Linked DNA regions of Drosophila melanogaster. The protein of the gene in region 3 interacts with the protein of the main gene of each other region in a pairwise test. Each region holds a gene or a part of one and is shown on either strand. Other genes may lie near its edges.

Region 1 (3,130 bases), on a different chromosome or scaffold from region 3:
CTGGATGGCTTACTGGCCTTCCTCAATCCGCACTGGGATTTTGTCAATTGCCACATGGTGAACTACTTGACGGACCAGCACTGGGACGGCTTTTTATCCGAAACGCTGAAAAGTGAGATCGCCGGCAAGGAAGATGTGGCTCTGGCCATAGAAGACCTATTTTGGAAAACTGATGAATCAGAAAGGTTTCCGGCATGGCGAGAATTCCTAGGCAAGAGCAAACAAGAACGCCTGTCGCTTCAGAGGGTCAGGGGAACTCCACGCAGCTAAGCATTCGGGAGTTTATGAGCGCCAAAAAGTGCCATGAGGTAAGTAAACCAACCATTTTAAATGAGAGTATTTTAGGAATTGATTAATCTCTCCGATTAGGTGGATCTAACAGCCGTTCTCGTGGACCAGCTTGTGAAGAACTCCGGTCAAGATTGCTTCATTGTAGACGCGGGCGATGGCAAAGGGTATTTATCCTCGCGCTTGGCGCTCCAGTATGGTCACCGCGTGCTCGGCATCGATGCGAACGCGGCAAACACCGAGAACGCATTGAATAGGAATCGCAAATTGCAGGTAGGCCGGGCTTACAAAATAAAGTTAGCTTTATTTCATTACGTTTGTAGACTTAGAAGTAAGGTGTGGGTGTATGTAGGTGAATCCATTGGCTAGTCGCGCATTTCGCCCTCCTCGTCGTCGTCCTCCATGCCCTTGATATACAGCACGTTGTTGCAGCGGATGAGCACCTCGCCAAGATTACCAGTCACGGAGCCCTCGATCACTTCCTCCGTGTTCGCCAGCTGCATGTTCATGTAGCCGTCGACGGAGACCAGGAAGCCCTTGTACTCCTGGCCCCACTTCAGCTTCACCAGCACCGGTTTTCCCGTCAGGCCGTTCAGGAAGGGCTTGGGGTTAATGGGCATACCAGCCGACATTCTGTTTATTTGATTTTTCCTGCCTTTTTTATAAAATATTACAACAAGCGTGCCGAAAATCGCCGGCTTTTCGCGTTTTTTTTGTGTAGTGTGACCACAGCTGCGCTGTGTAAACATACCAGAACAAGAAGAAGAATAGCATAGAAGAAGAGTATTGAAAAACCATTCAAAAGCGCCAAAATTAAAATTTTATTTAATTTCAGCGCGCTTGGAATGGCCTTACGGAACGAGCGGAGCTGCAAGTCCAGGGAATCACGCCCAAGAGACGTGGTAAAAAGTCGCCAGCCAGGGAGAGCACCAAGAGTGCGCCTGCCTTGGAAAACTACAAGACAACGGCAAAGTTTATAACCACCGAACTTAACTTTGGTGCCCTGCTGGCGGAGAATTTCACTCAGTTTAGACCGGAAGACAGTCCAAACATTTGCCTTACTGGATTGCATACCTGTGGCAACCTGGCCGCCACCTGTCTTCAGGTTTTCCACGCCCAAACGGACTGCCGGTTGCTTTGTAATGTTGGCTGCTGCTATCATTTGCTGCGGGAGCGCTATTCGCAGCAGGAGTTCTTTGGCAATAAGTCCCTGATGGAGCTGCAAACAGACTATGGATTCCCATTGAGTCAGTACCTGCGGGAGCGACAAGTGCGAATGGGTCGCAATGCGCGGATGCTGGCGGCCCAGTCAATTGAACGCACCTTGGACACCAAGGAGCTGCCTAATGTAACGCTCTACTATCGAGCTCTCTTGGAGATTCTGGTTTGCCGCCATGCGCCGGAGCTGAAAAACGAACTGCAGGTGGGCAAGGTACGGAAATTCGAGAGTTTCGAGGAGTACATTCAAAAGTGTGCCACCAAATTGGATGCTCCCTGGTTGGCAGCTGTTGAGAAAGAAGAACTTCAATCCCTGCTCCAGGAATATGCCGTGCATAAATACTTCTTGGATCTGTTCTATCTGCTGCGCATGTCCTTTGCTCCGGTGCTGGAGAGTCTAATTCTCCTGGATCGCCTGCTCTACCTCAAGGAACTTGGCTATGAACGCAGCTATCTGATAGATTTATTTGATCCCGTCATTTCGCCCAGGCATTTTGCAATTGTTTCTATAAAGCAGCAAACGCAACAATAATGAAATTCACAAATGCATCAAAAGCTTGACGAGAAAGCCGGTTGTGTTTAATTATTTATAGATTATAGCGTGCAATACTTTTCATATCGTATATGTATTGCGTTAACGCTTTTAAAAATCTAACTAAACCATAGCACACAAAAAGTAAATAAGGTTGTTAAAACTAAGAATCATTATAATAAATGTAATCATGACTTGTAATTATCTTAGAGTCCCTCTGGATTTGCTGTGGTTTGTTTGTCGTATTTTAAAGCTTTTTCCACCACACAGGTGAATTTATAAGTATGCACTTGAAATTGCTATCTCAGAACTTTTGAGACTTTCGAGTATAAAAACGCAAACAACATTTCAAATCGCCCCAAGTGCGGTGCGTAGAGCTTTAATTGTCGGTTGTGTACGCGGGTGCTCAGAATTTATAGATCCAATAAAAGTTTCCTTGAAATTGCTGGACAAACTTGTTGCGAATTAGGCCAGTTGCAAATAAATTGTGTGACTAAAAAAACCTGTATATTTTCAAAGTAAGTTATGAAATTCGGTATACAAAATTGTATATTTTAATTTGAAAAAGTGTGATATCCTTGAAAAAACCACACTTAATATGGAATTGAGGGCAACTGTGAAAATTAAGATTACTTGGTTACTGTTACTGTTACTAAAATAAATAGAGAACTGGTTTCTAAGAAATATATTTTGGACATTTGCTCTATAGAAATAGTAGTCTCATGTATAATTAATAAAGCTTAGGACGAAATCCTTGCTGGCAAATTTTTAGTGTCATATTTGCTGCCCGAAAAGATTTTCTATTTAGCTTTACAAGCAGCTTAATTGGGTGTAGATATGGCGGGAATTACTATAAGCGTATCATAAACACTCATTGTAATGCTCCCTATCATAACTAATTGTAATTCGCGTTGGAATGGAAAAGATAATGCCAGCTAAAAATAATTAAGACGGCTGATTTAATAAAATCTAGGTAAACATGGGTAGCAAAACACTCTAGATTGCATTTGAAACCATCGACCGTTTCAAATGCGATCGAGATAAGATAATGCTGAGGGCACTGGCATTTGATTAATTGTTTTAGCGATTAAT
Region 2 (3,043 bases), on a different chromosome or scaffold from region 3:
ACAGTGCTCCTCGGTGCGAGTCCAAGCCACGCTGCACGATCTGCCCGGGGTCTTTGACTTCTCCAATGTGGATCTGGTGAACTTCCAGTACTTCAAGAACCTGGCATCGCAGGATCCGCGCACCGCCGCCACCGCCAATCCACTGCTGGTGCATTTTCAGAAGAAGAAGGCGGTGCTGGACTATCTGGACCGCCTGTTCTTCGGCAACTCTCCGTTCCAGCAGCCCAGCGAGATCCCCTTCGATCCGCATTTCGGTCGCTCCTGGCGTCCGGTCTACGAGCGAAAGTTTGGCTATCGCGGAGAGCGCCTAATCGCTGCCCTGGGATCGGGGTATTCGGTGCCACAACTGCGCCACTTTGGCGCCATTCCCCGCGAGTATGGCACACCGCACTATCCCAGTTGAGTGGGGATTGCAATTTAGCGCCTCTAGATAGTGTATTTATGGAATAAACTTAAGAAACGAAGCAACGAGGTCTAATGTATCGGGGGTATATCAAGAACTACTGGAATTGGTTTGTATACAGGATGATGAGAAGTTGGTTCAGCTTTAATATTGAAGTATGAAACACTTGTGTTGTCGCAGGTTCCCTCTGAAGGAAACAGAGGAATCAGAGTTCTCTAACTACGAACTTCATGGTGCCATGCCAGTTGAGACCCTCCTGTATTCAGACCCTCCGCTTCTGCGTGGAAATGTAGAGGACATTGTTGCCGCGGATGAAGGCGTCGCCGTACTTGTTCTTCAGCTGCCCATTCACGTACTCCTCCGTCTGCTCCAGGCAGATGTTCATGTAGCCATCCAGACAGGCCAGCACACCTGGAATTTGGTCAGTGGATTGGGAAAATTGTCAAATGTGATGAGTGTGTTTGGGAACTCATTGAACGCACCTCGATAGTCAACGCCGTTGTTCAGCTTTACGGCGACGGGGCGTCCGTGTATCTGATTGATGAACTGCGACAGGGCCTCTTTGCGGGACATTTTCAATAGATGATTTCAAAATAAATGCAGTTTACAAAACCTTTTGGCAGCAATAATAAATAACAAATGTGAATACAGTTGTTATTTTATGCCGGCAATGCTGCGGTCACACTGCAGGTTTGGTAAGGTTGCAACACAACATTTCGATGTGACCATTGCATTCGCTTCACCAAGAGCGCCATCTATTGTTCAAGTTGAGAGGAATTCAAAAACACTTTTTGGGGTAATAAAGAAAGTTTAATTTAAATAATAGAATACATAAATTACGGACTACATTGCATCTAATCGATATTTAGGACTAGTGAATGCCCTCCAAGGGCGTGTAGGTCTTGTATTGGTACAATTCCGGTCCGCCGTAGCCGTAGAGAAGTTTTCCGCGCCCGTGTTCATCGTAGTAGGGATAACGGTACTTGGGCCTGAAATATATTGTTATATAAATTCAATTTAATATAGTTTAAATTGACAATTGCATACCTTTCGAAGTACTGGAAGTTCGGTGCTTTTGGCTGCACTGTAGCAAAAGTTGTGTGCGCCACAAAGGCCACAATAAACAAAATTAGCTGGAAAGTAAAGAAAGTGGTTAATAAACATTAAATATTGGTTTGTTAAAAAGTCAATTGGGTAAAGTTAAAAATTCAATTTTTGTCATTTTTCTAAGCTCCATCTATTGGCGTGAAATTAATATTAGAAATAGTTCTCATAATGTTAGGATTCAAACTTATCGTAATTTATTTGAGTAAATTTATTTGAAGTTAAGAAGTAAATTATTATTATTAACCAAATGATTTAAAAATTTTAGATATCCAATCTAATTTTATTACGATTGCAGCAATTAAAAGCAGGGTCGTGCTGTAAGTAAAAGTACGATTTTAATTCGTTTTCTAACAAAAAACCACATCTATGTGAAAGCTAATTGAATTGGCTAAACTAGATTTAGGGGGAAGTTAGATATCACATTTATGCTCAATGGCTCACTGTGTCAGCTGCACGAAAGTGGTAATAAATGCGAGTGCGACGACGGCCAAGAAATCGCTTTCAGGCTTTTGAGTCAACTTGAAAGCAACGGTTTGTTGACGCCGGTTATGCAATTACACCAACAATAAAAGCCACGATGCGCAACTTGGCCACAACTCGTTGCCCGGAGATTATGACACATTTCGCTTGGCGTTCAATTTGGCCAAAAGAGAGCGCGGAAGAGAGCCAGATCGTGTCATTCAAGGTCTCCCCATTCCCATGGCCAGAGAGAGCCTTCGAATTTGGCCCACATATGATTCGAAAATGTGTCAATTGTCTGGCCGCCAAAAAGGAGAAACGAAAAAACTAAAAACAAATGGATTTTGAAAGAAGAACTGACGCGGGCTCATTGGAAATTCAAGTCACTATTTCCGAGCAATGCAGACGGTTTTCTTTTTGGGTGCGACTTTCGCGCAGAAAAGGCGGAAATTGTGTCAGTGGACTTGTGGGCTCCCCCCACAAGGTGTTAATTTGGCAGGTACACTCTAGAAACCAAATTTAACTATCTGAAACTTACGGGCAGCAGCAGGGCACTCAATTTAGCCATGGTTTTTTCGGATATTGTAGTGCTCAATCACTGGTGTAACGGTAAAGCTAAAGCTGCGAGCGAGCGGTACGAGGTTGTTAGCCGATCGCGTTTTGTTTGGCAACTGAATTGCATTGCCAGGCGAGCTACCAAAAGCCGCGCTCCACAAAGAGCGCGAAAAAAGCTTGGAAGAGAGCGGGAGCTTCCAAGCTTGGCTTAAAAAGTTGGGCTAAGACTTAATTAGCTATCTCTTATGATATTTGAAATGCAAGTTAAAGAAGTGCTATAACCAAGAATTTGCAAATTGAAAGATGACAAACTTAAACTAATAAATTTCCGATTATAAGAAGATACAAGATACTATACTTAGTCAAATGTAGAAGGTAAGTTATCAATAGGCATAGTTAATATTAAATATTACCATTTCAAGATTCAAAGATTCTCAATTTCAGTAAGAACAACATCATCAATCGATAGTTTTCACTTCTTTACTTAATCTAATGAGTCTGAAGATTTTGCAACTCATG
Region 3 (2,932 bases):
CATATTCGAGTTCGGTTCGGTTTTGTTGTCGCGTGAGTCTGTTTCCGCTTGGTTTGTTCCACTTCCGTCGAAGCCTGCTGCCGTACTGAACGCTGGAGGTGCCGAACGGAAGCGGGAGAACGCACGCAGAGCAGAGCGGTACTGCGGAGAGTGCACTGCACCCACACGCACGGCCAGAAGGGAAAAGCGGTTAATATTTATGGCACATGTTGACTGCTGTATCGCTGAGACCCAACATTTTGGGGATGGAGCGCATGCGCCTACTTTGCATGGCAGCCAGAGCACAAGTAGCGGTTGAATGTTAACGGAAAGACACTAAATATTTAATGTGAAGTTTGAATTTTTGAAGCTTGGAAGTCATTTTACAGAATTATTAGCGGTCGACCTTTTTCGGTATTCCATTTCAAGTGTATCCGGTCCCTATAAGCATAAAATATGCTTATTTATGTAAAATTAATTCTATTCCAATTGATAATTTAACAATGTTTTGTATATTAGGTAATATTATATAGTGTTTTATTCTGAGATTAGAGGGCAAATAATTTTCATTTCCTAAGCCAAGCGTTTTCAAATTCGTATCTGTTAGGACCAAAAATCTGTTAACATTGCTGTTAATCACTTGACCACTGCTAACTTCTAACATACCTCGAACATTTACATACGACACAATATTATCCACATTAAAACGACCGTTTTGATATTTTACAAATGTATTTATGTTTACAAATGGAACCTTGCTACTCCGCCAGCTCTCCGCCAGGCACCAACTGAAATCAAATTATAAATGAAATTTAATAAACAAACGTATGTAACTTCGAAAAAGAGCACCCACCATTGTGATATTGTTCCCGTTGAGCAGAATCTGATCCAGTTTGGTGATGCGGCGGCCGTCGGGGGTATTTTCATACTCCGTTACGTCGTCCAAGAGCATATTCACAAAGTCATCGAATCCTAAGAGAGTTCCCACCATCTCCTTGTCGTTCTTCATGATAATGTGGATGCGGGAACCGATGCATTTGTCCACCAATTCTGTAGGGTAGTACGGGAAGCCGGCAAAAGTTAGAAACTCTCGATTTGTAGACCTGTAGCAGATTTACGTACCCAATGGCATTAGGGTAGAGATGTTGGAGGGGGGTGGAACGGCAGTCATGTTGTCGTATGATTTGTTTACTATTATTAACAATAATAATTGGAATTGCGCTAAAAACTTTTTAGCAGCGAGGTAAACAATGCGGAATTCTGCGCAAAAACTGGCCACATCAAAAGTGTCAGCGTCAGTGCTGCAAAATCTTGTGGATAGAGTTAGCGTGAATATAGCTAAACGTTTAAAATTAATTAAAACATTTGTTTTCGTTGAAAACTAATTAATTTATTAATTACAAACTCATTAAAACTTTTTTATGACAAACTTATCAAGATTAACTATTTTATCGCAAGAATTTAAAGAACAATTTGTCAACATGAGGGACCTCAAAACACCCACCCAAACAGCCACCACTATTACCCAGATAGTAATGGATATTTGGCATTCAGTGCCGCGGTCCTACCAATTTTACCTCATAATTCAAGATCAGGAGTTATATATCCAAAATCTTAATCTCGCGGCAGTGCTCCCGTATGTTGGCCATCTGTGACGCGGTGCAGTGTTGTGCTGCCGCCCACTGCTTACATAATGTCCATGTCGTTGGGCTCCAAGATCCGGAAATTGGTCACCAGCAGACGGCACTTCCTGCTTTTGCGCCGATCGCTGAACCAAGGTCAGTTGATTTGAATGCGCCACAACTTTTGGATGATCATGTGATTGGGCGCTTTTGCAGATCTGACAACGGCGCTGAGACCCTTCTACTTCGCGGTGCATCCTGACTTCTTTGCCCAGCATCCGGAGCAGAGGAACACCAACGAGAACTCACTGAAATTGCTGAGTGAGCATCTAGAGGCTTTGTATGAACGCAGACAGCGAAGCGGGGACACCCAAGTGCTCAAGTTCTATGTACGCACCAGTTCAGATGCTGACAAGCGAGACTCCTTCAAGCTCATCCAAATACGCACGGACTGGCAGAGTACCCGAGATCCCAAAACCTTTATTCAAGGTCTTCTGGAGTCATGCAACTTGTCCACGGAGTATGTGAAGAACATTAAGGCCCAGCCTGAGCCGCCAAAAACCTCTGGCTTGGATTTTAAACCAAGCCATGACTATCACTATGACATGGAGTTCGCCGAGTTTGAAACTCAGTTGAAGAATGTTGGTATATAATTTTGAAATTTAAAAAACCATTTATATACTTATTTCCTTAACCCAGGAACGTGCCAGTAAGCGTCCAGTGCTGACCACCTGGCTGGAAGAGAATGCTGGCACAGCCAAACAGCGCTCTAAGGAAACTGCGGATCTGCAGGCCGAAATCGACAAACTGAAAAAAATGCTGGTAGAGAAACTGGAGTTGCAAGATGCTCGTTACGAGTGCGGCTGGAACATTGAGCACTACCGTGGCTGTTTAAAGACCCTTGAGCGACTATCCAACACCCATTTGTTGGAAATGGCTTCCCTGAAAGGTCGCATAGTGGTTTTTGCTCCCTTTACGGGCATCAGTTTAGAAGGCCATGTGATGCTTTTTACTGGTGATGTTCTCAGCACATGGATTGACTTCATCAAGAACATTCCGCACCACGATGCCTATTTAAAGGTGGTGCCCGTGTATGAACGAACACTGTCTCAGGTTCTACTGAACATCCAGATAGGTCGTCGCAAGTTTATGCCCAAACAACAGGCAAGTGGCTATGCAAGCTACCTCATGAAGGTCACCACTTCGCTCAGCGATTACCTGGGCAAACAAAAATATCCGCCGGAATGGCCGAAAACGCTGAAAGAGTTTACCATAGTGGTGGAATCAGAGGCAGGTCCTCTGATGGTAAGCCCTACGGGCCAGTTTATCAC

The links.
Region 1: the proteins of CG6610 (region 3) and SmF interact in a two-hybrid assay, tested with the Drosophila melanogaster proteins (one large-scale study listed by BioGRID).
Region 2: the proteins of CG6610 (region 3) and CG9344 interact in a two-hybrid assay, tested with the Drosophila melanogaster proteins (one large-scale study listed by BioGRID).

The regions. Positions count from the first base shown.
Region 1 is NT_033778.4:12,183,270-12,186,399, forward strand, and holds SmF (small ribonucleoprotein particle protein SmF), read right to left. Parts: upstream 1,042-3,130; 5' UTR 921-1,041; coding exon 654-920; 3' UTR 575-653; downstream 1-574. UniProt on the Drosophila melanogaster protein: Plays a role in pre-mRNA splicing as a core component of the spliceosomal U1, U2, U4 and U5 small nuclear ribonucleoproteins (snRNPs), the building blocks of the spliceosome.
Region 2 is NT_033778.4:20,975,088-20,978,130, reverse strand, and holds CG9344 (uncharacterized protein), read right to left. Parts: upstream 1,076-3,043; 5' UTR 977-1,075; coding exon 886-976; intron 815-885; coding exon 666-814; 3' UTR 531-665; downstream 1-530. Other genes in the region: CG15650 (uncharacterized protein), read left to right, coding at 5-403; CG34115 (uncharacterized protein), read right to left, coding at 1,275-1,392, 1,451-1,536, 2,508-2,537.
Region 3 is NT_037436.4:6,073,858-6,076,789, reverse strand, and holds CG6610 (uncharacterized protein), read right to left. Parts: upstream 1,255-2,932; 5' UTR 1,151-1,254; coding exon 1,102-1,150; intron 1,030-1,101; coding exon 833-1,029; intron 768-832; coding exon 738-767; 3' UTR 532-737; downstream 1-531. Other genes in the region: CG13295 (uncharacterized protein), read left to right, coding at 1,673-1,757, 1,818-2,242, 2,301-2,932.